Saccharomyces cerevisiae S288C: one gene and its partners. The gene in region 3 interacts genetically with the main gene of each other region. Each region holds a gene or a part of one and is shown on either strand. Other genes may lie near its edges.

What was found.
Region 1: mutations in OTU2 (region 3) and YLR460C together harm fitness more than expected from each alone (negative genetic interaction), as found in Saccharomyces cerevisiae (one large-scale study listed by BioGRID).
Region 2: mutations in OTU2 (region 3) and MET1 together harm fitness more than expected from each alone (negative genetic interaction), as found in Saccharomyces cerevisiae (one large-scale study listed by BioGRID).
Region 4: mutations in OTU2 (region 3) and MRX20 together harm fitness more than expected from each alone (negative genetic interaction), as found in Saccharomyces cerevisiae (one large-scale study listed by BioGRID).

The regions. Positions count from the first base shown.
Region 1 is NC_001144.5:1,058,345-1,066,646, forward strand, and holds YLR460C (uncharacterized protein), read right to left. Parts: upstream 2,544-8,302; coding exon 1,413-2,543; downstream 1-1,412. Other genes in the region: GPI-anchor transamidase subunit GAB1, read left to right, coding at 1-174; seripauperin PAU4, read left to right, coding at 4,575-4,937; YLR462W (uncharacterized protein), read left to right, coding at 7,612-8,220; YLR464W (uncharacterized protein), read left to right, coding at 8,228-8,302.
Region 2 is NC_001143.9:570,018-578,765, reverse strand, and holds MET1 (uroporphyrinogen-III C-methyltransferase), read right to left. Parts: upstream 7,155-8,748; coding exon 5,373-7,154; downstream 1-5,372. Other genes in the region: YKR073C (uncharacterized protein), read left to right, coding at 259-579; phosphopantothenoylcysteine decarboxylase complex subunit SIS2, read left to right, coding at 643-2,331; electron carrier DRE2, read left to right, coding at 2,786-3,832; YKR070W (uncharacterized protein), read right to left, coding at 4,134-5,192; TRAPP complex core subunit BET3, read left to right, coding at 7,857-8,438; bifunctional glycerol-3-phosphate/glycerone-phosphate O-acyltransferase GPT2, read right to left, coding at 8,617-8,748. UniProt on the Saccharomyces cerevisiae protein: Siroheme synthase involved in methionine biosynthesis.
Region 3 is NC_001140.6:72,058-79,885, reverse strand, and holds OTU2 (deubiquitinase OTU2), read left to right. Parts: upstream 1-1,532; coding exon 1,533-2,456; downstream 2,457-7,828. Other genes in the region: YHL012W (UTP--glucose-1-phosphate uridylyltransferase), read right to left, coding at 1-950; YLF2 (Ylf2p), read left to right, coding at 2,572-3,789; 40S ribosomal protein uS10 RPS20, read right to left, coding at 4,109-4,474; YHL015W-A (uncharacterized protein), read right to left, coding at 5,104-5,187; DUR3 (Dur3p), read left to right, coding at 5,642-7,828.
Region 4 is NC_001138.5:240,299-248,371, reverse strand, and holds MRX20 (Mrx20p), read right to left. Parts: upstream 6,375-8,073; coding exon 6,363-6,374; intron 6,291-6,362; coding exon 5,373-6,290; downstream 1-5,372. Other genes in the region: RMD8 (Rmd8p), read right to left, coding at 238-2,226; BNA6 (nicotinate-nucleotide diphosphorylase (carboxylating)), read left to right, coding at 3,206-4,093; centromere-binding protein CNN1, read left to right, coding at 4,213-5,298; DUG1 (metallodipeptidase), read left to right, coding at 6,935-8,073.

The DNA of each region.
Region 1 (8,302 bases), on a different chromosome or scaffold from region 3:
TTCTATCATCTTTGGGTTGTTTTAGGTTCAGGGAATAGTAATTTTTTCTATGCTATTTCCCTAGTTTATGCTCTGGCTATAGCATCTATATTAGTTGACTTGAACTGGGCGATGCTGAGAATTGAATACGATAACGGTATCCCAAATTTCAAATTGAAGGTAACACAAATTTAACTACTTCCCGTCTATAAACGTACATAAACTAGAATAAAAAGAACCATACAGATGTTCATCGTAAGAGTGGATAAAGCGAATATGAGAGCCATATTGGTTATTCCAGAGGCTATCTATTTTTTAAGAGAAACTGCTTGGTTAAAATTTGCATAATATTGTCTCGGAGAGAAAAGATAGAACTCAGAAGGACCTAATTAATCATGAGCGTTATAATACGAAGAATTGAGATAGAGTGTATGATCTGCGGATTAAGCTCCTACATAATAACAACATTGTACTTGGGACTATGCCAATTTCTTTCCCACCAAAAGTCGTATGAAAAAGGTTATCTTCGCTAGGGCTTCCATTAGGTGAAAGCCAATATATTATCATAGAATAGCACGGCATAAATATATATTTTGTGCTGTCTTTTTGGGAAGGGTAGTTTGACAACCCATGTACATTAACATAAAAAGAGCTTTATCATTAACGGACGAAGAAAGAATGTGTATCGCGTATTTTTAGACTATCGATAATCTTTTTTAAAGTTATGGTAGATAGAAGATGGAATCAGTTACGAAGTGATGAGTTCCCATACATTCCAGCCTGTTTACATTAGCTAATTTAAAAAAAAAAAACATAATTAGAATATTACGTGATGACTCAGTTTAAACGGTACTCTGTAACACATCATTTCTATTTGTTGTTCTAAAACAGGTTCTACATATTTGGATCTGCTGTGAGAATGACCTAAAAGGTAAAACTCTCTTTGTAATAATCCAAGGAAAGTGGGAGTTCCTTGGGGAAGCTCTATTGCAATATATTGTAGTTTCCATTCAGCCTGCTTATCGCCTTAGGAAAAAGGAATGTAAGAGGCAGAAAAGTGCGGCGCAATCGTTCGGACAGCGAGCCGCCATTATAGGTAAGAATACTTAAAGAGCTTCGCCGGATATTATTACAGTGTATTAAATTTCGCCAAGTCTTTGCCAATGGAAATGGGTGCATAAATTTATGTGCTTGGTACATATGAGTTCAATAGATATGTAGTAGTTGGATAGTAGATAGTTAGGATATATAATCATGGAAGGGTTACTCACAACGAATCACATAATGAGTTATGATTTTCACTGTGCTCATCTGTTGCCCCTACAAGGGGTGATCAATAACAAACAATTTCATTAAAAAAAAAAAAAAAACTAAGTCACTATAACTAAACGTAATAACTATGTATATGAAAGAAAATAATATCTGTTCGTCATCTAGTTTAATACGGCAACGAGTTTTTCACCAGAGTTCTTACCATATTTGATGTCTTTTAGGATATGAGGAACATCACAAAGCCCGTTCTTATAGACCCTTACTGGAATATGGCGAATTTGTCCATCATTAATCTTTGGATTGATGAATTTGATAAATTTTATTGCAGCTTTCCTAGCTTCTGAGTCGGCTGGTAAAGTAATGTTTCCAAATGGTACTTCATGGCCACCTATTGAATATAGCCTTATTATGTCAATAGTAACGTTTTGTCTCCTGTTCTCTTTTTTGACGTTTTCTTCTGTCAAATTTTTTAATTCAACAATTGTAGCATCCTGTTTATCGGCCGCACATTTGTACACTTGTTGAAGCGTATCTTGATTCGCGACACAGTCGACTAAATACGAGATATTGTTGTACTTGTGTTTAATTTGTTCTACCACGTCAATATCATGATAATCAAATAATTCATCAGCACCATATTCTTTCAAAAGTTTTTCGTGCTTCCGAGAAGCCACAACAATGATCTTGGTGAAGCCATTCAATTTATTGGCTAATTGGATGAGCGACTGACCTACTGCAGTTGCACCGCCCCATAATAAGATGGGGCCTTTTCTTTGTGGGGTTGATGGCTCCCACTTCAGGTCCAAGCCCAAGTTATAGGTCAACACCAAGCCGGCTGTGGTCAGTGACACTGGGATAGTGGCTACACCTTCCAAAGACCTGACAGGGCCGGCAGGTAGAACATCCTCACCCAAAAATTTGAGTTCATTGGGTGATTTGTAGGCAACCACAGTTGAAATAGCAGAATATTCAGCAAAAGCACCATTGGAAGGAAACCTTACGGAAGATCCGTGAATGAACCCATAAATATAATCACCGATAGAAAAGTCTTTAGGATTGACAGCTGGGCCCAATTTGACAATTTGGCCAGCAGCATCACATCCCAGAATAGATCCTTGAGGCCCGATCTTGTAGTCAATGTGTGCCCAATCAGTGGGGTTACCAGCAACAGCGAGTGTCTTAATCAATACGAATCCTTCTTCCAATTCAGGAATGGGAATGCCCTCTTTAACAACCGCTTTACCGTCTTCAATGACGACAGCCTTCATGGTTTCTGGAATTGCAACTTGCATGTTTGTAGGTTATCTGTAATTGTCGTTGATAATCTGTATTCAGCTTGCCATTTTATAGAATATGGTTAGAAAGATCTTAAGCTAGATAAAGAAAAAGAAAAAAATAGAAAAAAGCCTGCCCGCTTTATAAGAACTTTTCTCAATATCTGTTGAGGAACACTTAGTAATATCGTCTATCATGGTTGCTTTATTCTTAGTGATATTACTCTCTGGGATTCGATGTGTTCTCATCATCTGAAGGGTTTTCTATGTGTTGAAAGCCTATCCCACTAGACGGAGCCGCGCGTCAGCCGGGCGGATCCGAGACATCTTAGTCAGCTGAGACAAGAAAGGCACAGCTCTCGGACAGGAACTGCTGTCATATGAAAACCTAAAAATGTTTCCTGGAAATTCCATGACTGCGCAAAGTTTGATACGTTTATTGTTCTTCTCCACTACCGCACTTTCTATCTCGGAAACCTTTCAACTAAATGAACTATTGTTAATTGTATGGCGTGTGGCCTTTCTATTTCAGAAAATTTAGAGTAAAGTAAACTCCGTCGGACTAGTATAGTAATGAAACAAGCCATTGACTCTGCAGCATATTGCGACCAAAACCTGGAAATTGGTGGCTATGAGTTTTAATTTATAATTATATGAAAACAAAGCTTGGAATGCTGAGTACTTTTTCTTCAATGCTGCTCACTGCCCAGAAGCGTTCAGAACAACTCTACTGGAGCCATTCTGCTTGAAGGAGGATAAAAATGCCAAGATCAAGTCTTTTAAAGATTCTATCCCTTTTCATCGAAGAAGCACTACAAGTTTATTTTACAGAAGTTGACAAACTGTGGAACTTGATCCATACTGAATAAGTATGGAAAACTGTTAACTTAGAGGATGCTCTGCTTTCTAAAGAAGTTTCACAGCTTTAGACTCACATGGGTTCTCATGAGTATTGCTAGCTAGTGCGAGTTTGATCTATACTTCACAGACTTTTAACACCCCGTTCCTTAAGTTTTCCCTGATTATCAAGGGTATTTCCAATTCTTACTCCCCACTATCGCTCCTTTCTTATCTGAATTGTATTTTTGAGTGGCCTAATTGTAATCTTTTATTTTGTTTTCTAATTATTGAAGGCGGTTTCTCGAAGCATTTCACGATTTCCAAAATTCAAGAATTGAAATTATGAACATAGAAGACAAAATACTTTTTTTATCAACTATTAATACACCTTTCCTAGAGAACATTTTTAAAATAAAATAAAATAAAGTAGCGCTCTCTACTACCCTTACACTTTTCTCCTTCATATCTGGCTAGAAAAGAGGGATTACATCTCGGAATCAAATATTTCCCTCTGTGCAAAGTTTTAATACTGCTACTACGAACTGGTTACAATTTTATTTTTATCATACACGATACTTTGAACATCAACTTCTCTCAATACCATCCGCCTTCAGCGGCTACAATTACGTAATTGCACCAAGGCATTCGCCGAGAGTTCACAAATTGCAGACCCTAACAGTATACGACTCCCAACACACGTTTAATGTTGTACGAATTCAAGAGATAGAAATGCTTCTTCCGCGGAAGCCGTTTAAAGCACTGAAATTAGGCTTAGACAATAGACTTCTGTACGAGGGTCCAAATCTAAAATTCAGATATTCTTTTTGACCGAAAACGGAAATCACAGGCGCGCAAAAGGGTTTTTCAAGGTACCCCGGCATCCCTATAATAGGCATTCCCACATTCTGCGCATACGAATACACATGAGTGCCATAAAACAATACTCCACATACGAAGTCTATGAAAGATGTATGATTCGTTCAGAAACAAGAGCATTTCCATACTGATAATGAGATTGTGTGAAAGATGAGATATGGAGGATATGTGAGGTGCTAAATGAGCGTCTGTTAACGAATCGTTTAAATAGTGATGACTGATGAAGGCATGGGTATAAATAGAGCTGCTTCAACTGTATGCCTTTGAGAATATGTCTTTATTCCTTTCTTTCCTGTTAAGCTTATATCAGCACTAACAAACAAAACAAATACAATGGTCAAATTAACTTCAATCGCCGCTGGTGTCGCTGCCATCGCTGCTACTGCTTCCGCAACCACCACTATAGCTCAATCTGACGAAAGAGTCAACTTGGTTGAATTGGGTGTCTACGTCTCTGATATCAGAGCTCACTTGGCCCAATACTACATGTTCCAAGCCGCCCACCCAACTGAAACCTACCCAGTTGAAGTTGCTGAAGCCGTTTTCAACTACGGTGACTTCACCACCATGTTGACTGGTATTGCCCCAGACCAAGTGACCAGAATGATCACCGGTGTTCCATGGTACTCCAGCAGATTAAAGCCAGCTATCTCCAAGGCTCTATCCAAAGATGGTATCTACACTATCGCAAACTAGGGACGAGTGCCTCTACGAATGAAAATTCATAGACAGTAAAAAGTAATGAAAAATAAAATAAAAACTACTTTTTTTTGATGATATAAATACCGTAGATTATATAAATGTATATTAATATTATAAACCTATTTGATCAATGACAGTGTTCGTGAAGCATTTTATGAATACGATAAACATAAAAAGAAACTTTTACACTATTCTAGAAAAAGGGTGGATGGTAATAAAGCTAATAGAGTATGTCCAATAAACAATAATGAAATTGGAAGCGCATGACTTCTCAGCACTTTGTCTTTCCATAAAAATGAGTCGCTGCTTCTTTTTTCATTTTTTGGCGCGTCGCGTCGGGCCGTATAGAATATGCGTCACTTCTAAGAACAAGATTGCAGATCAGGGCAGTGCGAGTTACGGAGTCATGGTATCAAACTCTCATTTAGAGACCCTCATTTTTTGACACTGAAAATATCAAAATTTCTGGGTTGCGATAGTTTTTGTGTAACCGTAACCAGAAATAAAGCTGAAGGGTTAGTGTTCTATCAACAATAAGATAGAGGGTGGTAAGATGAAGTGAGACAATATCGTAACGTCCGTTTCAGTATACGCCGCTGATAAGTTATATTACCGTAAAATTATTTGACATTTCGTTATAGATCCTATTAAATAACGTACCTATCACAGTATCGTCTTGTTCAGATATAGTCTCTTCGTATGAGTAGTGTCACATACAAGATTAAAGATGCATCAGTTATGCTTTTAGGATATTGCGGATAGCATATGGGAATGGAAATAGGATACAATTTTATCATAGCACCCGCATGAGTGTCAACACAGTACCATATTATAGCACAGTGAATGGAGAGTGTTACGACAGTGAGGTAGCATATTATTCTAATGTATGGTCTGCATAAGTACGAAATATTCTGAAATGGCATCCGTTCAAGCAAACTGCAATATTAAGGAACTTTTACGTTAATGACGTCATGGTAGTGTTCATACTCCAAGTCAATATGTTTTTGTATTATTGTTGAAGAATAGAATATTTTTATGTTTAGGTGATTTTAGTGGTGATTTTTCTGTAATATTGGCATAAGTGTATTTAAATTGAGTGGTTAGTATATGGTGCAAAAGTAATATAACGTATGTATTAAGAGCATTTTTACAATATTCGAGGCCACTGAATGAGATATAGATATTAAAATGTGGATAATCATGGGATTTATGGGTAAATGGCACAGAGTATAGACCGCTGAGGCAAGTGCCGTGCATAATGATGTGAGTGCATTTGGCACTGATTTAGTGAGAGATGGGCCATGGAGTGGAGTGGAATATGAGAGTAGGGTAAGTTGAGATGGTATATACTGTAGTATCCGTGTGCGTATGACATATCAGTATACAAGTGAAGGTGAGTGTGGCAAGTGGTGGTGATGGTATAGAGTGATAGGGTAAGTATATGTGTATTGTTTACGATCATTTGTTAACGTTTCAATATGGTGGGTAGAACAACAGTATGGTGAGTAGTAGATGGGAGATGGTAGAGGAATGGCAGGGTAAGTGGTGGCGGAGTTGGATATGGGTAATTGGAGGGTAACGGTTATGGTGGACGGTGGGTTGGTGGTAGGAAGTAGAGAGGTGGATGGTAGTTGGGAGTGGTATAGTTGAATGAGACAGGGTAACGAGTGGGGAGTAGGGTAATGGAGGGTAAGTTGAGAGACAGGTTGATCAGGGTTAGAGTAGGGTAGTGTTAGGGTTAGGTGTGTGTGTGTGTGTGGGTGTGGTGTGTGGGTGTGTGGGTGTGGTGTGGTGTGTGTGTGTGTGGTGTGTGGGTGTGGTGGGTGTGGTGTGGGTGTGGGTGTGGGTGTGGGTGTGGGTGTGGTGTGTATATCTATGTCACCTTATTGCATGCTGGATGGTGTTAGACAAGGCCGTAGGGACATATAGCATCTAGGAAGTAACCTTGTACGAAAATAGGCAATATTTCCTGTTTGACGCAGATTTTAGCCCAAAGATCTAGCGTCAAGGAATTTTTTTATAGTGGGACATTGCAAACCAAGGAAGTAACTTGATACGTCGTTGGTGAATGGGTCTGTTTTCTTATTCGGCGGGGTAATACATTTTTGGGGGAAGTTTGTCTGTCTGACGCGCCATATGTAGGTACGCCAAAAAGGGCTCCTCTACTTCGAAGCGCGAGGTCGTATACCTAATAAGGAAATGTAATTTATAACTTTTTATTATATTGGTCTTTTCGAGAGCGGAACGTAGGTCCATGTTTAAAGTATCCAAGAGAATATCCACGAAGCGGCTGAGCAACGAACAGAATCCTGGTTCTCCTCGACTAAGCAGATAGTTAAGATACTGTGCACCATGGAAATTGAAAACGAAAGTACGTACCGACTACTTTATTTTTGCAGGCCGGAAATCAAGCGATGAATGAGACATCCTTCTGTTTTCTATGTTGTGCTTGAAGGGGACAGACAGTCGCTTATCTTAGTGAGATTTTGTTTGCTTTTGCTGCACCTGCATAGCGCAGATTCTGCATCTTCTCAATAGCTTAATTATTACATTCTTAGATGATGATAAGACGAAAACTGGACAATCTTTTGTTTATATTGATGGATTTCTTGTCAAAAAGCATAAAAATCAACATACTATTGTTAATTTCGAAACTTACAAAAATAAAATGAAAGTTTCCGATAGGCGTAAGTTTGAAAAAGCAAACTTTGACGAGTTTGAGTCGGCTCTAAATAACAAAAACGACTTGGTACATTGTCCCTCAATAACTTTATTTGAATCGATCCCCACGGAAGTGCGGTCATTCTACGAAGACGAAAAGTCTGGCCTAATCAAAGTGGTAAAATTCAGAACTGGTGCAATGGATAGGAAAAGGTCTTTTGAAAAAGTTGTCATTTCCGTCATGGTCGGGAAAAATGTAAAAAAGTTCCTGACGTTTGTTGAAGACGAACCAGATTTCCAGGGCGGACCAATCCCTTCAAAGTATCTTGTTCCCAAGAAAATCAACTTGATGGTCTACACGTTGTTTCAAGTGCATACTTTGAAATTCAATAGAAAGGATTACGATACCCTTTCTCTTTTTTACCTCAACAGAGGATACTATAATGAGTTGAGTTTCCGTGTCCTGGAACGTTGTCACGAAATAGCGAGTGCTAGGCCGAACGACAGCTCTACGATGCGTACTTTCACTGACTTTGTTTCCGGCGCACCTATTGTAAGGAGTCTTCAGAAAAGCACCATAAGGAAATATGGGTACAATTTGGCAGCCTACACGTAGATGAGCTATGCAAGCAAGTTTACCTGGCGAAAAGAAAGTCGACACAGAGCGGCTGAAGCGTGATCTATGCCCACGTAAACCC
Region 2 (8,748 bases), on a different chromosome or scaffold from region 3:
GAAATAGGCTTTCCGGAGCATCAAACCTGAGGTTTCATAAATTGTGTTCGTGAAGGATGCATTCCAGAGGGCCATCCATCCAGCATAAAAAGAGATCTACAAAGCAATTATGTGGTTTCGCCATTATCCGTAGGATGACCTAAAAAATGGTAATGATTCACGTGATCTAGAAACTTTAACGTGTTATATCATTCAAGGCGTAACTTATACGCGCGGGGTACCCTATCATATCTAACACACGTACCCTGGGTTAATGCCATGATCGTCTTTGATGTATCTCTAATGATCATTATTATTTTTTCTTTTGCTTTTAACATGAGTCAAAGCAATATTCTTATGTTATATAACTCACCCCATGTGCTCGTGGGCAGTGACGCACGCAACTTTTTCTCTTGCAAAAAATGGCATCGATGCTTTTCTGGGGAGGTGATATTAGAGGAGAAGAAGTCACAGAGTGCTCTTGGATCACGATCCCTCACTTGTACTTGTCCACTTATCAGCGCCGTCCAGTTACATTTGGAGAGATCTTTTTTTAGCCTGGCCTTCTTTGCTGTCATACTACTTTATATTCCGGGATAAAATATAAAGAAATATTAGTTAGGAAAAAATTAATAGGGAAGAAAGATCTAGAAGCAAACAGCAATGACTGCCGTCGCCTCTACTAGCGGGAAGCAAGATGCTGACCATAACCAGTCTATAGAGTGTCCAAGGTTTTCGCGTGGACAGAAAGAGATTTTGTTGGACCATGAGGATGCGAAGGGGAAGGATTCAATAATCAACTCCCCCGTGTCAGGGAGGCAATCAATAAGCCCTACTTTGTCGAATGCTACTACCACGACTACGAAATCTATTATGAATGCCACCGGCACCTCCGGCGCAGTAGTAAGTAATACTCCGGAGCCTGGTTTGAAGAGAGTCCCCGCCGTCACTTTCAGTGATCTAAAGCAACAGCAAAAGCAGGATAGTCTGACTCAGCTGAAGAACGACTCAGAAAGGACCAAGTCTCCAAATAGTAATCCTGCTCCTGTCTCAAATTCCATTCCTGGCAATCATGCAGTTATACCGAACCACACCAACACTTCAAGAACAACGCAATTATCTGGGTCTCCACTCGTCAACGAAATGAAAGATTATGATCCTAAGAAAAAAGACAGTGCTCTTAAAATAGTTGATACCATGAAGCCTGACAAAATCATGGCCACTTCAACGCCAATAAGTAGAGAAAATAATAAGGTAACCGCCAAAGCCCCCACCAGTATTACACTTCGAAAGGAAGATGCACAAGATCAAGCTAACAATGTTTCAGGCCAAATTAATGTGCGTTCTACCCCGGAAGAAACGCCAGTGAAGCAGTCCGTCATTCCTTCCATCATCCCCAAAAGAGAGAACTCCAAGAATTTGGATCCCAGACTACCTCAAGATGATGGAAAATTGCACGTGTTGTTTGGCGCTACAGGTTCGTTATCGGTATTTAAGATCAAGCCAATGATTAAAAAACTAGAAGAAATATATGGACGTGATAGAATAAGCATTCAAGTTATCCTCACTCAATCAGCAACACAGTTTTTCGAACAAAGATATACCAAGAAAATTATCAAATCTTCAGAAAAACTAAATAAAATGTCGCAGTACGAATCCACTCCGGCAACTCCAGTGACACCAACACCAGGACAATGCAACATGGCTCAAGTAGTCGAGTTACCCCCACATATTCAACTATGGACCGACCAAGATGAATGGGACGCATGGAAACAACGAACTGATCCTGTACTTCATATAGAACTACGTCGCTGGGCGGATATACTGGTAGTAGCTCCATTAACTGCAAACACATTATCAAAAATTGCTTTGGGCCTGTGCGACAATCTTCTGACAAGTGTCATTAGAGCTTGGAATCCGAGTTATCCCATTCTTTTGGCACCTTCTATGGTGAGTAGCACTTTTAATTCTATGATGACAAAGAAGCAACTACAAACGATAAAGGAGGAAATGTCCTGGGTCACTGTTTTCAAGCCGTCTGAGAAAGTTATGGATATAAATGGTGATATTGGTCTCGGGGGTATGATGGACTGGAATGAGATTGTTAACAAAATCGTTATGAAATTGGGTGGGTACCCAAAAAATAACGAGGAAGAGGACGATGATGAGGATGAGGAAGAAGACGACGACGAAGAAGAAGATACAGAAGATAAGAACGAAAACAACAACGATGATGATGACGATGACGACGATGACGACGACGACGACGACGACGACGACGACGACGACGACGATGATGACGAGGACGAGGACGAAGCAGAAACCCCAGGTATAATAGATAAGCATCAATAAATAGTCTATGAATTACAAATACACTAAACACATTCTACTTATTTGTGTTTTGTAATTTCTGGAAAAATACTCATTAGGCAAATTCACGCAGCATATTTACAAAATGTCACAAATTTTTTTCCTTTTTTACTTGCAGTAGGTATGTAATGCCATACTAGCGTACATAGAGCTCTTCATATAAACCGCTATTTATTACTAATTTTAATAATTCAGTAATTCATTAAATACATTCATTACTTTCTGGGTAAATATCTATTCGTTTCTCATTTTTCTTTTTTTGACATATCCCGGTACCGGAATAAGTCCGATACTATTCAAAAGCTTCTGGAAAAAAAAAATAAAAAAAAGAAATGATTAGTAATCATTTAATTTCATGACATATTAAAAAGGTATTCTAAGCAGAAGTCTTTCATCACATTTGATCTAAGCATATACACTGTAAGTGAAGGTATCGATGTCACAATACAAAACTGGTTTACTTTTAATACATCCGGCGGTGACTACAACGCCAGAGCTAGTAGAGAACACTAAGGCTCAAGCTGCATCAAAGAAAGTCAAGTTCGTGGACCAGTTTTTAATCAATAAACTAAATGATGGGTCCATAACTTTGGAAAACGCAAAATATGAAACAGTACACTATTTGACGCCAGAAGCCCAGACTGATATTAAGTTTCCGAAAAAGTTAATTTCTGTCTTAGCTGACTCATTGAAACCAAACGGCTCACTAATTGGTTTAAGTGATATTTATAAAGTAGATGCATTAATCAATGGGTTTGAAATAATTAACGAACCAGATTATTGCTGGATTAAAATGGATTCCTCTAAACTAAACCAAACTGTTTCTATACCACTGAAAAAAAAGAAAACGAACAATACTAAGCTACAGAGTGGTAGTAAGCTACCAACTTTTAAAAAAGCTAGTTCTTCAACCTCTAATTTACCCTCATTCAAAAAAGCAGATCACAGTAGGCAACCTATAGTTAAGGAAACAGACAGCTTCAAACCACCTAGTTTCAAAATGACCACTGAACCAAAAGTCTACCGAGTCGTAGACGACCTGATTGAGGATAGCGATGATGATGATTTCTCTAGTGACTCTTCCAAAGCCCAATATTTTGATCAAGTGGATACCAGCGATGATTCCATTGAAGAAGAAGAATTAATCGACGAGGATGGTTCTGGTAAGTCAATGATTACTATGATTACATGCGGTAAATCCAAAACTAAGAAGAAGAAGGCTTGTAAAGATTGCACCTGTGGTATGAAAGAACAGGAAGAAAATGAAATAAACGATATAAGATCTCAACAAGATAAAGTTGTCAAATTTACAGAAGACGAGTTGACCGAGATTGATTTCACTATCGATGGGAAGAAAGTTGGCGGCTGTGGTTCTTGTTCTCTAGGGGATGCCTTTAGATGTAGTGGTTGTCCCTACTTGGGTCTTCCTGCTTTCAAGCCTGGTCAACCTATCAATTTGGACAGCATTTCAGATGACTTGTAAACCCTGCACATTCGTTTCAGTAAATGACGTCAATTGGTCTACTTTGGTGAAGGTGAATTTTTTTAGATGCATTGATCGATTGACTTTGGTAGGTTACTAATTTTACCAAAAAGAGTTGGTAGTTTTTATTTTTTTAAATAGAAGAAAACAGGTACTCATTATACCGTGATTACCAATTTCCCAACCCATTATTTAACCCGTTATGTATATTGCATATATTTTGTAAAAGCGTTTAAGCTATTAATAAATCTATCATAACAGTACAGCTCAAAGGCAGGAAAAGATATTCCATAGTAGTCTTTCATGCGTACTTTTCTAACGTTTTAGTAACCGCATCAAATACATCATTCACGATCAAGGTAGGCTTACATTCCTTTAAGTCATCACCTTCGTTATACACACCTGTCTTCACCAAACAACTGTTCCAACCGTAATTTTGAGCTCCAATGATGTCACTTGCAGGATTATCACCTACCATAAAAACCGCATGGAATGGAGAAGTTGAAGGTTTCGTGCCTAAGAGTGGCAGTTTTTGCTTCACAGATTGGCCTATTTTCCCGCTTAGTCTTTTTTCCCAATCAATGAGAACATGATGAGCGAAATCATAAGTCAACTTTGTAGGCTTACCCAAAGTATAATCTTGCAAGGGTTCACCATTTAACTCGAGATAAAGCCTTCTAACTAGTAAGCGGAAGGCACCTTGTCCAAATCTATTCAATTTATAAGGATTGGCCCACAGTAAATCCTGGTTCGAAAAGTAAATGGGGATGGAAGGTTTGCCACTCTTTTCGTTTCTCAAGGTATTTAACATCCCATTTTCGCTGTTGATTGCATCTGAGATGATTTGTATATCGGCAGCCCAATCATGAGGATCGTTAAATACCAAGACGGCATCGAATTTCTTAGTGGTTAAATCTGGAATATCCCTTGAGTACTCCATCACTTGTTCATCAGATAGCCCACTAAATGGTGCAATGTCCCTATTGTATCTTACAATATCCGTTTGGTGAACAACATCTTGAAATCCGTAGCCTTCTGCAACGCCTCTCACGGAAGGTGTACCAACGGCCAAGATCCTTGAATATTTGTTAACAAGGGACTTGTAAGGAGTATGACTTTGAATAATTTGCAAGGGTGATACATCAACGTCCAATTTACTCGAGATAAACTCTGTCCGTGCCCTTTCAGAGAACCCTCCACCATTAGTGAGTAAAATATATGGAATTTTATTTCGGTTCAACAGCTTCAATGCGTCGCTGGCACCAGCAATTGGCTTTTTGCCCCTGAACAACACACCATCAATATCGAATGCAAAAGCAATCTTTTTACTTGTTGTTTGGAAAAACCGTTTGCCAATCATTCTCGCTGCTCTTTTGGCTTGCCAATATTTTGACGACTTGGTTGAAGGACCTTTTCGGGCCTCGGATACGTCCTTTTTGCTCAATATCCAGTGTTGATGAATCTAGAACATAATGCATACACGATTAACCTTAAAACTTTAACGTCAGCGTTTGAATGATATCTTGTCTTTATATACATATTAGTATAACTTAAATAGACTATCTACATCAACCTCAAATTCTCTAAAACCTTCATCAATGACAAATTTTCTTGATTCGTCAAAATTTATCAGATCTTTTTCAACCAATGCATTCACAGCCTTGCCTACAACCAAGACACCGGGGGGCCTTGAACCAATCTCCTCCACGACTTCTGGTACCCATTTAAGAAGAGTTCTAGTAACACGCTGGTCAGGGCACGATCCTCTCTCGACAATTGCAGCGGGGACATCACCATCCCAGCCATGCTTCAATAATCCCGTGATCAGAACGTTGGCGCGATGCAGTGCCATTAGAAAGACGGTGGTTCTGCTTTCAACAAATTCAGGAATTATAGGCAGAGCGCCCTTTCTCCCAGTCCCAGTACATATGAGCACTTGGTCTGCTATATCACGTTGAGTAGCGGGTATCTGAGCCAATACAGTACAAGCTAGGGATGAGCTTATGCCCGGTAAAACCACAGGAATATATCCGTGATCTTTGAAGAAATTAAATTCCTCGCCACCACGGCCAAAAATATACGGATCACCTTGCTTCAAACGGACTACTTTCAATCCATTATCCAACGATTCTAAACCTTTAGCTAGTAATTCCTGTTGTGCTCGTTCTGCATTACCGGGAAATTTTTTGGCTATGAAGGTTTCAGTTTTTGGAGGTATTAAATCTAAAATGGCTTGCGGTACCAGTTTATCTGCCAGTATTATATCTGCAGACTTTATTTCTTGTAATGCACCTATCGTTAGCATAGATACCGAGCCTGGACCACTTCCGACTAAAGAAATCTTCCCTAGTTTTTTAGGTCCCTCCTCTTTTTTCACTTCCGATAATTGTAGTTGTTTTGTACCGTTTTCAATATTTTCATCGGTAGGAGGTACTACACCCTCTGTGACAGTTTCCTGCTTTGTCTTTTTATTTGGAGAAGATGAAGTCTCGAAATCTTCCAACTTGATGTCACTCAGCTTGTTCATCGGGTAATACTCCATTATCTGAGATAACCATCTGGTTCTCTTAAGTCTCTGTTCTCTACTGGTCATTTCAAATTCACGAATTAGCTTATTAAACTTATGGCTCTCCCAACCGTCCTCATCTAAGCCGTAGCCAAATCCAGGTAATGACATGTCAGTCTGGTAGTACTTTTCCTCTAACAAGGCCTTATGGTCTTCGTTTATAATACGGTCTTTCAAATACCCCATGTTTATCACCACCTCAGATATGTTTGGAGGTAAGTGTGATATTATATCTCTTTTTATCCTGTTTGCCAAGATGTATCCATTCCCATTCGTAGTAACTGAGATTTGTAAACCACTTCCTTTTGGGTCGACCCACGTAGGAATCATATTGAAGGTAGAAAACTCTGGTTTGTGGAATGTATTTATGGGAATTCTCAGTTTTTGGCATTGCCAAAAGATCTCCTCGCATAGGCGACTTTGTGTTATGGGTAGATCTACGAATACTCTATCCACTACCTTGCATACCAGAACTCTCCCCAAAGTAGTTAAATCAGATAACCTAAACTCCCTTTCTACTATTTCGAACTTTGCAAACTTACCAAATTCCAATTGTAATTGTTTAGTATGGCTTGGTGACGAGGGATTCACTACTATGGGATTACCACCAGCATTCAAAATGGAGTGGATTCTATTCTTACAAACGCTTACTGAGTCCGTGGACCCTGTACCAATAAGCAAATGAACCTGATCAGTAGCAAAACCAGCAGTAATCAAGGGCAGTGATGAAGGCAATGTCACTAAGTCTCGTACCATTCTTTTGAAATTTTCTTAGTTTATTTATCACTCTATCCGTGCTTTTTTTAATTGGGATGGAATATCTGAGCAATTCTAAATGAAGCCTACAACTTTGCAGAAACACATAAGTAAATTATATATATATATCATTTTTTTGACTTAAGCATACTCGACTTTTGTAGCGAGTTTATTAGCGATGATTCACATAGTGAAGCAAATTTCATTATGAGTCCGTTCACAGTTTATTATGAGAGCCTTTTTTCACCACAATTTGTAATGTCACGTGCATAATGGCATTTCTAGAAAGAGAAAAACGTATAAAATGATTCAAGTTTGACGTATCGTATATAAAAAGGTCGAGAAACCAATAACGAAAATAGAAAATGATATCTTTACTGTTGCTGTAGTTGTGATTTCTACAGTTGCGAGCAAATATGTTGGACTCAGAGAACGAGGATTGTACATCTTGGATATAAATAGATAAATAAGCGCTATTCTATGCACCTTGACAGCAGGAGCCAAAAATTTGAAAACTTGCGAAACTCCAAGCCAAAGGTAAGGCCAACCTGAAAGTGTTACATGTTACCCGGTTTGGCCAACATTGAACTTAATATAATAATAACAGAGTAAGTGATCGTAGCTGTGATTACCCATAGCTATAGAGATGGGAATGCAGAGTAAAGCTTCAAGTGTTCATTGATAACCAAAACTGGGTCAAAAATGGTTTCTACCACGCAATCGAGGTCTTTGAAGGCCATGGGAGAAGAGATCTGGAAAAATAAAACAGAAAAAATTAATACAGAATTATTTACGCTAACATATGGGTCCATAGTGGCACAATTGTGCCAAGATTATGAACGGGACTTTAACAAAGTGAATGATCATTTGTATAGCATGGGATATAATATTGGGTGTAGACTTATTGAGGATTTCTTGGCTAGAACGGCATTGCCACGCTGTGAGAATTTAGTGAAGACAAGCGAAGTACTAAGTAAGTGTGCATTCAAAATATTTTTAAACATCACACCCAACATAACGAACTGGTCGCATAACAAGGATACTTTTTCATTGATTTTGGATGAAAACCCATTGGCTGACTTTGTGGAGTTACCCATGGACGCTATGAAATCGCTCTGGTATTCCAATATATTGTGTGGTGTTTTGAAAGGGTCACTTGAAATGGTGCAGCTGGATTGTGATGTCTGGTTTGTGTCGGATATCTTGAGAGGAGACTCTCAGACGGAGATCAAGGTTAAGTTAAATAGAATTTTAAAAGACGAAATACCGATCGGCGAAGATTAGTGGACATGTAAGCTTTTTTTTTTCGTGATTTTTGTTATTATTGGTGTCGTTATTTAGGTATACATTATTTTCCTACGTAGAAATGTTATCCTTAATGTTTTTGTTCAGTAGTTACTTTCATATTATATTATTTACAAACATTGTCAAATGCTTTTTTTTTTATTTTTCTATTTTTTGATCATTCTTTCTTTTCGTGTTCTCTTTTCTGTCTTACCAGCGAAGCAATCTTCGAAGATATATTTGTGTTGCGACTGTTTTCCTTATTTAGATCAGAACTTCGTGCGGTTTGTACTATGGCAGGATTTTTCTC
Region 3 (7,828 bases):
TTTTTCAAATCAATCCAAATGTTATTAGTGTTGACAATTCGACACGTGCTTGCACTTTCATTGGATAAGCAGTTGTAATAAACCGATCGTAGTTTACCTTTATATGTTGCCAACACTCCAGTGTTTGAAACATTTGCAGTCCTTTCAACTACTTCAACAAGATACTCGATTTTTTCATTTATGATGAAATTTAAAATGTTCAAATCTCCTGTAGCGCCCAAATTGTCAACATTTGAAACAAATAAAATCTCTTTTCCTTGAGCAATTAATTTGTCCAATTCTCCTGAAAAATACAAAGTGTCAGTTAGGTTACCAGTCCCGCAAGGATACCAAAAATCATTTTCATGAGAATTTATTTGTAAATCGATAGGTAATAATCTATCTTTATCAATTTGTGGAAAGCTTGACTGAACTACGGTTTTCCATCTCACTTTGCTAGAAGAATAATGCTCTTCAAGGAAGTTTGATACTTGAGATTCAGTTTCAAGCGAGGTCATAAATATAAGAGGAACGTCTGAATTATATCGTACATTCAAATTTTGCGTTTGTCGAACTATTACATCCAATGAAGACATCCCATTTTTTACTTCGAATAAAGGGCTTTCTTTACCAATGATTGGATTAGCCTTTCCGGTTAATTTTAAAATAGCTAACTTTGATAATAGTTTACCCTCTAACAAACCGTAATTTTTAATATCATCGAGTTCAACCACTTCATCAATTATCGGTAATCTAATTTTGTCACAAACTAGATCATGGGTGATTGAAGTATTTTCTAAGACATATCTTTGAAAAATGTGCAAAAATAGGCTAAACTCATAATTCTTGTCACGTATCGAAGGAAAATGTTTCTGCAAGGCCCTTATCATTTGTGACATAACAACATCCTTTCCAATACCTTCGAAAGTACCTTCAAACTCTATTTTATTTACTCCAGAGAAAACCGTCATTGATCTTGTATATACTATGTAGAACAGTGAAATATTTTTCCTTTTTTTTTTTATTATCAAGAATCACTTGTGTCAGTTATCGTTAAATTCCAGGTTACAAAAAGATTGTAAATGCCAGGGAAAATACAATTCAAAAAAGTTACAGTATAGTTATATTTAATTACTTAAATTTACTTTTTTTACTATAAGGTGCTATTCCTGCATTCTTTTTTTAATTAATCAGGACTTATAAGCTGATAGTACTTTCATTCTTTTTTTTTTGTGTGATAAGGCCATTGAACATTATGGAAGACTAACTACTTTTTCTTCAAGAAAATTGTGTGCTTCTACTCTCGTTCAATACAGGAAATTTTAATTCCAACAGAGTGGAAATTTATGGTTTTCTTACCACAATAAATTTCTCAATTGTTAAAATCTGAAAAGTTGGCAGCCCTGGCCCTGTCAAAGAAAGTATTATTATGCGTCGCGAAATTTCTTTTTCTTCACGCCTTGTTTTTAGTTTGGGCATCTCGAAAGCATCTAATACAAAATCCAACTAAAGCACAGCATTCAATCTAGTAGAGAGAACAAGAGATATTCATCATGACCGGCATGGAATCAGGAGAGAATTTGGAAAACATGGAAGATATTTTGGCGAGACATCGCAAGGAAAATAAAGATTTACAGAATAAGATAACGGGTATGAAAAAGCAGGCTACTAAATCCAAAAGGAAAGAAGTTAATTCGAAATGCCTAGATCTTCAAGATAAACTAAAGACTAAGCAAGAAAATGAAATAAGGGATTGGAAAATTGCAAATAATGAAGTGTTTGACGCAGAACAAGAAGATGAAGTGACTCCTGAAAAACTTTTAGAACAACTATCCATATCTCGAGATGAGAAAGAACAACAGAATGTTCCCGTTCAACAACAGCAACAAGGCCAGACAAAGAAGCGTCGCAATAGACAAAAGGAAAGATTGGCCAAAAGAGATGCAGCAATTGCTAAAATGAAAGAAGAGGCTGCTTTAGAAGCATCCAAACAACCGGACTTGAAAAAAATGGAGCAGGAGTCTATAGATCAGTTATGCGAGTTGAAGAAACTGAAACAATTCGATATACAACCCGATGGCCACTGTCTCTTTGCATCTATATTAGATCAGTTAAAATTACGCCATGATCCAAAAAAACTGGATCAAGACATGGATGTCATGAAGCTGAGATGGTTGAGTTGTAATTACGTACAGGAGCACAGGGATGATTTCATTCCATATTTGTTTGATGAAGAAACTATGAAGATGAAAGACATTGATGAGTATACGAAAGAGATGGAGCATACAGCTCAATGGGGTGGTGAAATTGAGATTTTGGCTCTCTCTCACGTTTTCGACTGCCCCATTAGCATTCTGATGAGTGGAAGACCTATTCAAGTGTACAATGAATGTGGGAAAAATCCTGAATTGAAGCTAGTTTACTATAAACACAGCTATGCATTAGGTGAGCATTATAATTCATTGCATGATTCTTGATTTTTCCCATCCGTATCTAATGAGATATGCTTATTTGTAAACCTTAATGCATCTATTTAATTGTATAGTTTGAAGCATATGGATATAAAAGAATAAAGAGAAGTAATAATCGGATATGAACATTGGTGGAGGAAAATTTTTACTTGGGAGGATATCGAATAATCCAACTTCAGGGATAGTAGGGCTTGCTAATGTTGGTAAATCGACTTTTTTCCAAGCAATAACAAACTCAAAATTGGGAAATCCTGCAAATTATCCATTCGCTACCATTGACGCAGAATGTGCCAAAGTCAATATACCTAGCGTGCCGCTCTCTAATTTATTGAGAATATATCAGAGTGCGAAATGCGTACCTGGAACACTCACAATATATGATATTGCTGGGCTCACCAGAGGCGCATCTCAAGGCCATGGTTTGGGTAACAAGTTCTTAAACGATATCAGACACGTAGAGGGGATATTTCAAGTGGTGAGAGGATTCTTAAAGGAAGACATCACCCATATAGAAGGTAATGTTGATCCTGTCAGAGATCTATCCGTGGTACAAGATGAACTCATCTTGAAAGACTTAGAATTTCTGGAAAACATTAGGGAAAGACTTAGTAAGAAGATGAGAATGGTTTCGAAGAATTCTAAAGAACATCAGGAAATGAAGATAGAGACAGAATTATTAGATGCATTAGAGGAACATTTGTTTAACGGTAAAAAAATCCGGCATTTCAAAGATCATTGGAACCTGGATGAAGTCAAAATTTTGAATAAGCATAACTTTTTAACCTCCAAACCAACTTTGATATTGCTAAATGTTTCACCTCAAGATTACGTTAGGAATGAAAATAAATTTGTCAGAAATATTATAGAATGGATTAACGAATTTTCGCCAGGAGATAAATTCCTACTTTTCAGTGCAGAATTTGAATCGCAATTGATGGAATGTAAAGGCATAGCGTCAGAGTATTTTGACAAGATCAAGGAAGATACCAATGTTTCTGATCAACAGTTAGTTTCTGCGATACCGCAAATAATACTAGAAATGAGAAAGTTGTTGAACTTAATTAGCTTCTTTACATGCGGCCCACAAGAAGTTCACCAATGGAATATAAGGGAGGGAACCACCGCTCAAGAGGCCGCGGGTGTAATCCATAGCGACTTGCGTGAAACATTTATCAGCGCTGATGTAATAAAATATGACGATCTGAAGAAGATGGAACCACCGCTAAATGAGTCTTTACTAAAATCTAAGGGACTTATCAAACGTGCAGGCAAACAATATATTATGCAGGACAATGACATTGCCTTATTCAAAGCCGCCGGTGGGAAAATTAAGAAATAGTTTGTCATAAAAAATACTTGTAAATATGAATAGAAACGCTTGCTTTGTTTTGTCTTTTCCAATAATTACACAAGAATCAACAAAAGTATGAGATATATATATATATATATATATATATATTATATTTGCATAAGGTTTAACCACTGATAGTAAGACAGAGGTATATCGAGGAACTGTGTTTACCTAGAGTGGGCTGATTCTAATAGTGCAGCTATATGCGAAAATGAGAAAAAAGGAACCGCTGAATTCAATAATATATTTTGGTTAATGGACGAGAAAAAGAGGAATCTAATGGAAATTATTTCCAGTTAGAACCAGCTTAGTTGGAAGCAACAACAACTTCGACATCCACACCAGGTTCAATGGTGATTTGAGTGATTCTCTTAACGATTTGAACAGGAGCTTCCAAGTCGATGTATCTCTTGTGGATTCTCATTTCGTAGGTTTCCCAAGTCTTAGAACCTTCACCATTTGGAGTCTTTCTGGTGGAGATCTTCAAAACCTTGGTTGGTAGTCTGACTGGACCCTTCTTGACCAAGTTGTGTTGTTCAGCGTTCTTGACAATGTTGGAAGAGACGTTTTCCAATTGCTTAACCTTGGTGGAGGTCAAAGTGATTCTAATCTTGATGATTTGTTGTTGTTGTTGTTCTTGTTCTTCAACCTTTTCCTTTTGAAAGTCAGACATTTTGTATATACCTTTTTGTTTATTTTACTTGCTTTCTTGTAGGAGTTTCAATCTAAAGCTGAGCTTGAATGAAATAACCCATCTTTACTATTATTTTGAATTCAATACGGTCTATTACTCAATCTCTGAGGCTAGTCGCGAATGCGTCGAAGTTTTTTTTTCAAAATTAAAACATTATCGTTACCCGAACTTTATCTTCATAAAAATAGTTGTGGCATTTTTTCTCTTATGTTTACGGATGTAGAAAATGTACAGGTGTGAACTTGCAGGTAAACATTTTTACATTTTTACTTTTATCTTTTCCCCTTCTATAGAGATAAAAATAAGAAGTTTCAGGGAAATCTCTCTTTCCATAGTAAATAGTGTTAGCAGCAGACAAGACAAGAAGGATATCAATGACGATACGCATTTTTCCGAATGATCTGGTCAGATAATTCTTTTTTTCCCTTTATCGGGAGGTTTTGATGAGAAAACGATGTCAATAGTATTCTAGTCACAATAGGGAGCTAGACGGCTATTCAATCAGAATGCGACTATCCGGAGTTATCCTCAATGATAGACGTTTCTCCAGTTAGGAGCGCCAAGAATGTGTGAACAAAATGCACAAGGTGCAGATTTGGCGCTCTTTATCAGCGCTTCATACGGTAGATATGAACTTTAATTTTGAGATTAGCCAAGACCAAAGGTTCTCTTAAAGATGCAAAAGCAGTCATACAGGTATTTGTTTTATGCAGCAAGGCTGACTCAAACTAGGCATTCCAATTCTGTTTATCTATTGGTGCCGCACCTTTTTTCCGATGATGAAATGAGGCGGCGCACATTTGGGTGTTATCTTATCGGGATATTTTATGATAGCAAATGCGACAGACAATAATGCTCGAGAGTGGACAGGCCAATAGTCAGTTGCAGCATAGAAACAAGCAGGCGTACCTATGGGAAAGGTGTAACTCATCATTGCGCTTTCTACGGTACGGTTATCCTTAGATAACAGGCAAGATGTGCTCTATTCATCGGTGTTGCATGAAGATACGTCTTGTTCGCCAAGTATATAAAATGAAGCAGTAGTATAGCCGTAGCTTTACTATTGTTAGCAGTTTCCCTTGTCTAGATTCTTAAATTGGGTTCATCCAAGAAAAAGTAATAACATAAATTTGTCATTGTTATAGTATGGGAGAATTTAAACCTCCGCTACCTCAAGGCGCTGGGTACGCTATTGTATTGGGCCTAGGGGCCGTATTTGCAGGAATGATGGTTTTGACCACTTATTTACTGAAACGTTATCAAAAGGAAATCATCACAGCAGAAGAATTCACCACCGCCGGTAGATCTGTAAAAACCGGCTTAGTGGCTGCAGCCGTGGTTTCTAGTTGGATCTGGTGTTCTACATTGTTAACGTCGTCAACAAAGGAATATGCAGACGGTATATTTGGCGGTTATGCGTACGCTGCTGGCGCATGCTTCCAAATTATTGCATTCGCAATTTTGGCAATTAAAACCAAGCAAATGGCTCCCAATGCGCACACATATTTAGAATTAGTGAGAACAAGATATGGTAAGATCGGCCATGGTTGCTACTTGTTTTATGCCATCGCGACGAATATTTTAGTCACTTCAATGCTTTTAACTTCAGGTTCTGCTGTCTTTAGTGATTTAACCGGGATGAACACTATCGCATCATGTTTTTTACTGCCTGTGGGTGTTGTTGTTTATACTCTATTTGGTGGGATTAAAGCAACTTTCTTAACGGACTATATGCACACATGTGTCATTATCATCATTGTCCTCGTATTTGCCTTTAAAGTTTATGCGACTAGTGATGTTTTAGGCTCACCGGGAAAAGTTTATGACTTAGTTCGTGAAGCCGCCAAGAGGCATCCAGTAGACGGTAACTATCAGGGTGAATATATGACCATGACATCCAAATCCGCTGGTATTTTATTAATTATTAACCTGATTGGAAATTTCGGCACCGTTTTCCTTGATAATGGTTATTGGAATAAAGCGATTTCTGCTAGTCCCGCAGCGAGTTTGAAAGCATATGCCATCGGTGGGTTAGCATGGTTTGCAGTACCTTCTTTGATTTCATTGACCATGGGATTAGCATGTCTTGCGGTGGAAACGTCTCCGAACTTCCCCACCTATCCTGATCCACTTACTTCGTTCCAGGCAAATTCTGGGTTAGTCTTGCCGGCAGCTGCAATTGCTATCATGGGTAAGGGGGGTGCTGTGGCATCGCTGCTAATGATTTTCATGGCCGTCACATCTGCTATGTCTGCTGAACTAATTGCCGTTTCATCTGTTTTCACTTACGATATCTATAGAGAATATATTGATCCTCGTGCAAGCGGTAAGAAATTGATTTACACATCACACGTTGCTTGTATCTTTTTTGGTCTTGCCATGAGTGGATTTTCGGTTGGTTTATACTATGGTGGTATTTCTATGGGTTATATCTATGAAATGATGGGTATAATTATTAGTAGTGCAGTATTACCTGTCGTTTTGACCTTATGTTCCAAAGACATGAATTTGGTGGCCGCTGTAGTGTCGCCTATTTTGGGCACAGGACTGGCTATAATGTCATGGCTTGTCTGTACCAAATCCCTTTATAAAGAATTGACCGTGGATACTACGTTCATGGATTATCCAATGTTAACAGGTAACTTGGTGGCTTTGCTATCACCAGCCATTTTTATTCCTATTTTAACGTATGTGTTTAAGCCACAAAATTTTGACTGGGAGAAAATGAAAGATATTACTAGAGTTGACGAAACTGCAGAGTTAGTTCAGGCTGACCCTGATATCCAGCTTTACGATGCTGAAGCTAACGATAAGGAACAAGAAGAAGAAACAAATTCTCTGGTCTCAGATAGTGAAAAAAACGATGTTAGAGTAAATAATGAAAAATTGATTGAGCCTAACCTTGGTGTTGTAATAAGTAATGCCATTTTTCAAGAAGATGACACACAGTTACAAAATGAATTAGACGAAGAACAAAGAGAACTAGCACGTGGTTTAAAAATTGCATACTTCCTATGTGTTTTTTTCGCTTTGGCATTTTTGGTAGTTTGGCCCATGCCCATGTATGGTTCCAAATATATCTTCAGTAAAAAATTCTTTACCGGTTGGGTTGTTGTGATGATCATCTGGCTTTTTTTCAGTGCGTTTGCCGTTTGTATTTATCCACTCTGGGAAGGTAGGCATGGTATATATACCACTTTGCGAGGCCTTTACTGGGATCTATCTGGTCAAACTTATAAATTAAGGGAATGGCAAAATTCGAACCCACAAGATCTGCATGTAGTAACAAGCCAAATTAGTGCGAGAGCACATAGACAATCATCACATTTCGGA
Region 4 (8,073 bases), on a different chromosome or scaffold from region 3:
TAGTCTTCACTATCGTCTTTTTCTCCTTTGTTGATGCGAAAGATGAATTTACATATTCGAGTCCCTTAGTCATATTATTGTACTTTTAATGCAATCTTGAGGGGAGCCAATCAACGAGTGGTTTTACTTGCACGTGACCAAGAATGGTAATAACGGTGAAATATATGACTAAAAACCTTGATAACTAAATATATCATTAATTTATTTTTAATGCCGTCTAGAAGGGTGTATGAATATCTATGTAGAAGTATGACGATGAATAATTACATAACGAACGAAAATCTCTGTTAATGAAAATATAACTCCAAATAAAATGACAAGAATAAACCACCATGTAACACGAGCCATGTTTCTTTCAGCAACAGAGTCAACGCATATATCAAAGAATTCCAAGAAAACTTTGCAACGATCATTTAATACTTGTACTCTTTGGTCAATTTCTAAATACTCCCTCATTGCCACGTACAGTGGATGCAAACTTGGTTCGAACGACCAAAAAAACTCGGGTGTATCCAATATGGTGGATGAAAGGTTAACATCCACTCTCAATTTAAAGAGCTTCCCTGATTTTTTCAAAAGCTGTTCCCTTTTTAACCCAAGGGTACCATATAATGCTAGTCTTTTAGGTAGTTTTGTGACTGATATTAAAATCGGCGAAATTCTGGATTCAAACCTTGATAATTTCGAAGATTGCGCAATCGCATGTGATAGTGTCAGCTCGATAATGTGGTCACCTGAACGTAATGTGACAATATCATTGAAAATTCTCGGTCTCTCGGTATCTCTGTCATATTCGAAATGGAATTGTTCAGTTTCAATATCTTGTTCATCCAGCGGCCGGATCATTAAATTCTTATAATCTGCAAATGTTATATCACCAAGAATATTTTTCTCTTGAATTTCAGTAAAGTTCCAAAAAACAATAACGCCATAGTGAAAAATGAAAATTTCTGCATGTCTATCATTGCCTTCATGGTCGTTGTCCCTATGCATTTTATATACACGATCAAAATCATTCTGTGATGAAGATGGTGGCGATGGCGTAGATATTGATGATGGCGAAGCTGGTGAACGAGAGGACTGTACATACTGATCGTTTCCCTCAACAGCATAAAGTTTACTCTTATCATTATTTTTATTATTATTATCGTTGCCACAACTTGCATCACTGTCGTTTTCCTCCTTCTTCAGCATGTTTATTCTTTCTGTCCTTTCCCGTTTCTCTATCTCTAAGGGAGTTTCTTCCGCAAAAAATTGTGGTTCCATAGGATTAAAAGAGTCTTGCTGACCAACTGGATTTGGTAGATGATCGGGAACTGTTGTGGTGTCTTGATTAGCGTTATTGTTATTTCCACTGGTTTCTAGTTCGTAATTATTATTTGCATCTTCCACAGTTTCCACACCTGAGTAATATTCATAATGATGATCTCTCTGTTCGCTTGTATCAATTAAATTATCAATTAATGTCTTTCCACCCATTGTTTTCTTAGATAAATTTGATTTGATTCTAAAACCGCCTTTACCTGGTAGAAGTGGCAAAGTATACGCAACGTATAGACACTCATCATACAATCTTGGTGAAACCTCATGAGTTTCCTGCAGAAACTTATACAATTGGTTGAGATTGAAGCCATCAGCAACATTATATGCGGTGATTCTTGCCATGGACTTTTCTTTTGAGTATCGAGGTAGCCGATCGAAGGAATTAGACTTCATAGAGCCCACTTTCGGTCTTTGCCTATCCAGCGCGTTCGTTGGTAGAGTTTGAAAGTGGTTCAAGTTGTCGTCTTCCGGTATCAACACTAACTTTTGTGACGTCTTCGATGTTCTTGGAGGCAGGGGATTGATCATCTTTCTACGCGAACTTAACCGCTCATATTGGCGAGGCCTATCGCTTGAAGAGCTGGATAGCCTTTCCTCTCTTCTGGCAGAGGGAATATCTGAATTATCAGAAAGAATATTATCTATGGATATATCGCTAAACCTGCCAGACGATCGCCTTCTTGGATGAGTAAAACTCTGCAGCGGAGAAGGGCCAATAGCGGAAGAGCGAACTCCTTGAGACTTCGTAACTCCTGCGTTTTCCATATTCTTCCTACTACCAGCAGCGTGTCCAGCGAACGGTGCACTCATTCTATTCTTGGATGTTCTTGCATCTGTCACCAGGATGGAAGGTGACCTTTTCGGCATCTCCCCAGGAGATGGTTGGTTAGCCTTATAACTCATACTGTCGTCTTAAATGGAAGTCCTTTCCTTTGCTCCATATGCAATTTTGCATACGAACTTCCGATTGATATAATCTTGTATTAATGTATGCCTAACCTGGTTTTGTTTTTCTTGTAGGTTTTTCTAGCCAGTTTTACTATAAATTGTCACTTTTTCCTAGTAGTCAATTTGAAAAAAAAAAAAATATATGGGTAATTATAATAACAAGAAGTGTTCTTCTGATTGTCGGAGATGCCTCTAATGCCAATGCACAGGCTTCCATAAAGTTTTCAAGCATGACAGAAAGCTAACTTGTCTTTTACTTCTTTGTTGGGCACACTTCTCATTTTTAAAAAAAAGATTTCCACCTTCACGATCATATCTGAAATGAACTGAATATTTTGTTCTTGTGAGAATAAACTTGTCTACTAATCGCAAATTTTTCAAGATTAACCTTCCGCACCCATTGAGGTACTAAACTGATCTACCCTACCTTTCCTAAATACCTAATGTCAGGTACATAATGCCAGCGACAGCTCAAAATCACGGGATACTAATTATTAAATAGTAGTAGCTTCTTCTCCACGCACAGTTCGATCGAAGGAGCTAATATTCGGCTTGTCATCTTCCATGGCCAGTAATTTTTTTTATTGTCATTTGGGACTAATGAGATGGAAACTAGAATTGTAGTTATACATCCTGAGGTTTCTATCAACTTGTGTGTCACAACGTTTTATATACTTGAATGCGTAGTAGCAAACCCCGGCAAGACGTAAGTTAACTTGTCAAAGGTACAAGCTTGGTTACAAACAATGTGATATTTCGCTCCAGGATATTTTTGCTTTTGGTGACGCCGGTTGGTTGAAGAGCCCCCATTTATCATGACTCCTACCGCAGTTTTCGTATATCTTGGGCCATAAATTCGAAAATTAAAGACACCACTTAATAACGCAACAAAAAGAACGCAATCCTCAGAAAGAACACACACCAAAAAAAAAAAATGCCTGTTTATGAACACTTATTGCCCGTTAATGGAGCATGGAGACAAGACGTCACCAATTGGCTGAGCGAGGACGTTCCTTCTTTTGATTTTGGTGGATATGTTGTTGGTTCCGACCTAAAGGAGGCCAATTTGTACTGTAAGCAGGATGGTATGCTGTGTGGTGTCCCCTTTGCGCAAGAAGTCTTTAATCAGTGCGAATTGCAAGTTGAGTGGTTGTTTAAGGAAGGCTCCTTCTTGGAGCCTTCGAAGAATGACTCTGGTAAGATTGTTGTAGCTAAAATTACTGGGCCCGCTAAAAACATTCTATTAGCTGAAAGAACCGCCTTGAACATCCTTAGTAGAAGTAGTGGAATTGCCACCGCCTCACATAAGATAATCAGTTTGGCGCGTTCGACTGGTTACAAGGGGACCATTGCGGGGACAAGAAAGACTACACCAGGTTTACGTAGATTAGAAAAGTATTCCATGCTTGTAGGTGGCTGCGACACGCACAGATACGACCTTTCCTCTATGGTCATGCTCAAAGATAATCATATTTGGGCTACTGGTTCTATAACAAACGCAGTTAAGAACGCCAGGGCCGTGTGCGGGTTTGCTGTGAAGATCGAAGTGGAGTGTTTGAGTGAAGATGAAGCCACAGAGGCCATTGAAGCTGGTGCAGACGTTATCATGTTGGATAATTTCAAAGGTGACGGTTTGAAAATGTGCGCCCAAAGTCTTAAGAACAAATGGAATGGTAAAAAGCATTTCCTCTTGGAATGTAGTGGAGGCTTGAATTTGGACAACCTCGAGGAGTATTTGTGCGATGACATTGACATTTACAGCACTAGTAGCATTCATCAAGGCACACCAGTGATTGATTTCTCATTGAAACTGGCTCATTGAAAATGCTTAGGCTTCGATTTTTACTTTTTTTTATTTACATATTCTAAATAAGATTAAGAAGCTACGCGTTACCGATTAATGACACACACGACGATTAGTAACGAAATAAGAAATGAATAATGAGCACTCCCAGGAAGGCCGCCGGTAACAACGAGAATACAGAAGTCTCAGAGATCAGAACCCCCTTTCGGGAGAGAGCCCTTGAAGAACAACGTCTCAAGGATGAGGTACTGATCAGAAATACGCCAGGTTATAGAAAACTTTTATCTGCTTCTACTAAGTCTCATGACATCCTCAATAAAGATCCGAACGAAGTACGAAGTTTTTTACAAGACTTAAGCCAAGTGTTAGCACGCAAATCACAAGGCAACGATACAACTACTAATAAAACTCAAGCACGGAATCTAATAGATGAATTAGCGTACGAAGAGAGCCAACCAGAGGAGAATGAGCTTCTTCGGAGCAGAAGTGAGAAACTGACAGATAACAACATTGGCAATGAAACGCAACCTGATTATACTTCCTTATCGCAAACAGTATTTGCAAAATTGCAGGAAAGAGACAAAGGCTTGAAAAGTAGGAAGATTGACCCGATAATAATACAAGATGTTCCCACGACAGGACACGAGGATGAATTGACAGTGCACTCTCCAGATAAAGCTAACAGTATCTCTATGGAAGTTTTGCGCACGTCGCCAAGCATTGGAATGGATCAGGTAGATGAACCGCCAGTACGTGATCCGGTACCAATTTCCATAACGCAACAGGAAGAACCACTATCTGAAGATTTACCAAGCGACGATAAAGAGGAGACAGAAGAAGCAGAAAACGAAGATTATTCGTTTGAAAACACCAGTGACGAAAATTTGGATGATATAGGCAACGATCCTATCCGTTTAAATGTCCCTGCGGTGAGACGTTCTTCTATAAAACCGCTGCAAATAATGGATCTAAAACATCTTACAAGGCAATTTTTGAATGAGAATAGGATAATATTGCCGAAACAAACGTGGTCTACTATACAGGAGGAATCTTTAAATATAATGGATTTCTTGAAACAAAAAATCGGCACGTTACAAAAACAGGAATTGGTAGATTCGTTTATCGATATGGGTATTATCAATAACGTTGATGATATGTTTGAGCTCGCGCACGAATTGCTTCCCTTAGAACTTCAATCAAGAATTGAAAGTTATTTGTTCTAAAAAAGATACCGTAGAGAAAATAATTAAATAGTGGCAATTTATGTACAGAAAAGAGTAAAAGATCCACAAAATTATCAAGACCTGGAAGAGAAGCCTAGTAACAAACTAACCTGTTCATAAACAGTGAACGTTAAGCCTCCTGAAATACCGACTTTCATAAACCTAAAGATGGAGCCCTTCCAGAATGTGGCCATGCCTTCTTGAACAAATATTCTATACATGCAATTTAAGGTATTTTTATATTCAGTTTTGGCATTTTGACTCATCATCCTTGTTTTTACGACGTCAATGGGCTGAGTCATTGCCACGAGTGTAAAAGATGTGGCTAACCCCGTTATTACTGAGGATGCCTTGTCGTTTCTTGCTTGTAACAACCGTTTAAATGCTGTGTATGCAGTAAATTGAATAGAGGTGTTAGCTATCTGCCTAAATATGGTGGCTGTTGTTCCCTGGACGAACGCAGCAGGGCCTCTTGTTTGATACATGTGTTTTACCGCTGGAAGTAGTTTCTCGATACGAGCCACAGGAGTAGATTTAGTCGCCACCTTGTGAAAGGTTGCCTTTGCGTTAACTACAGGTTGATTCTTCTCTAATTTTTTATGATCGATCATCGCCGATTGGATAAGGGTGGTTTTTATGTTTTCAAAAGGGATAATAAACAAACTTTCTACTATTCCTGTCAACGTACCAGCGATCAAAAGGTTATAACCAGTCAGTCTTTGAAAATTATCATTATTATCAATGTTATTATTCAGGGAGTGGCATAACTTGTCGAACGTAACGAACCTTAAAATAGTCTTACCAAATGCGGCCACGTTTAGGGCAGAGCAGCCAACAAAGTACGACTTAATCTGAGGTAAAATGATTTCGAAAGCGGTACCCTTCGGTTGCAATTGTAAACCAGTCTTTAAGTACTCAAATGGGTATGTCATTGTCGTTTGAAACACAGCAGCTACACTGCCGGCAGTGATTTGCTTGTAAAGGTCAGAGTTCTGCAAACGAGAAAAAAGAGAGCGTTAATAAAATAGCATTAGCGTCTTGGAACGAAACAGTTTACTACTTACCTGGTTAGCCATGTCGGGTGCTGTTCTTACTGCCCTTTTTTTACGATTCGACTACCTGTGAGAGCAATTACTTTTTCAATTATATTCGATTGAAAAATAGCTTAATAAGGCGGAAGAAGTTCCCACTTCTGTTCAAAGCCCTTTAAATTAAACAACCTAATAAAATCAGCAGACGCAAGAAGGAAAAACCTCTGACACCCTTTCCAGAAGTTATGTTGACAAGAAAGTTTGAAATTTTTGGATTAATAAGTCGATTTTATTATGACTAGCGAAGGCGAACTAAACAAGAAGTCGATTAAATCCCTCGAGTGATTGATAACTCCACAACACATTTTGTGCGCCAATCGGTGGGTTAAATACTCGAGCACATCTTTTAGAATAAGTATTCGTATTCTTTTAAGTTGACCAATGCCACAGCATATTTTAGCAATATCCCTTATATTCGTCATTCAAAACGGCTACAAGAAAATGTGTCAAAAAAAAAAGAGAGACTATAATAGCAACATGTTGTTCTTATCAATTGAATCTCCCTTCATTGTTAGTTCAGTTGCTCCAGAGCATCGTACACAAGCATGTCTCACTCACTTACTTCCGTTTTCCAAAAGATTGATTCTTTAAAGCCTCAGTTCTTCAGCAGACTGACTAAGGCTATTCAAATCCCCGCTGTTTCTTCGGATGAATCACTAAGGTCCAAAGTCTTCGATAAGGCCAAGTTTATCTCCGAGCAATTATCACAATCGGGGTTCCATGACATTAAAATGGTGGATCTGGGCATTCAACCTCCACCAATTTCTACGCCAAATCTGTCTCTACCTCCTGTGATTCTGTCTAGGTTCGGCAGCGACCCTTCAAAAAAGACTGTGTTGGTTTACGGTCACTATGATGTGCAACCTGCTCAATTGGAAGATGGTTGGGATACTGAGCCATTCAAGCTTGTCATTGATGAGGCTAAAGGTATCATGAAAGGAAGGGGTGTCACCGATGACACTGGTCCCTTATTATCTTGGATTAACGTTGTGGACGCCTTCAAAGCCTCCGGACAAGAATTCCCCGTTAACTTAGTTACTTGTTTCGAAGGAATGGAGGAAAGTGGTTCTTTGAAATTGGATGAATTGATTAAAAAGGAAGCTAATGGTTACTTTAAAGGTGTAGATGCCGTTTGTATTTCCGATAATTACTGGCTAGGCACTAAGAAGCCTGTTTTGACTTATGGTCTAAGAGGTTGCAACTACTATCAAACCATCATTGAGGGTCCAAGTGCAGATTTACACTCTGGTATCTTTGGTGGTGTTGTTGCTGAACCAATGATCGATTTAATGCAAGTTCTCGGTTCCCTTGTGGATTCTAAGGGTAAGATCCTGATTGACGGTATTGACGAAATGGTTGCTCCTCTAACCGAAAAGGAGAAGGCTCTATACAAGGATATCGAATTTAGCGTCGAAGAATTGAACGCTGCAACTGGCTCTAAGACAAGTTTGTACGACAAGAAGGAAGACATCTTGATGCACAGATGGAGGTATCCTTCGTTGTCCATTCATGGTGTGGAAGGCGCCTTTTCCGCTCAAGGTGCAAAGACTGTCATTCCAGCTAAGGTCTTCGGTAAGTTTTCCATTAGAACCGTCCCCGACATGGATTCTGAGAAACTGACCTCTTTGGTCCAGAAGCATTGTGATGCCAAATTCAAGTCCTTGAACTCTCCAAACAAGTGCAG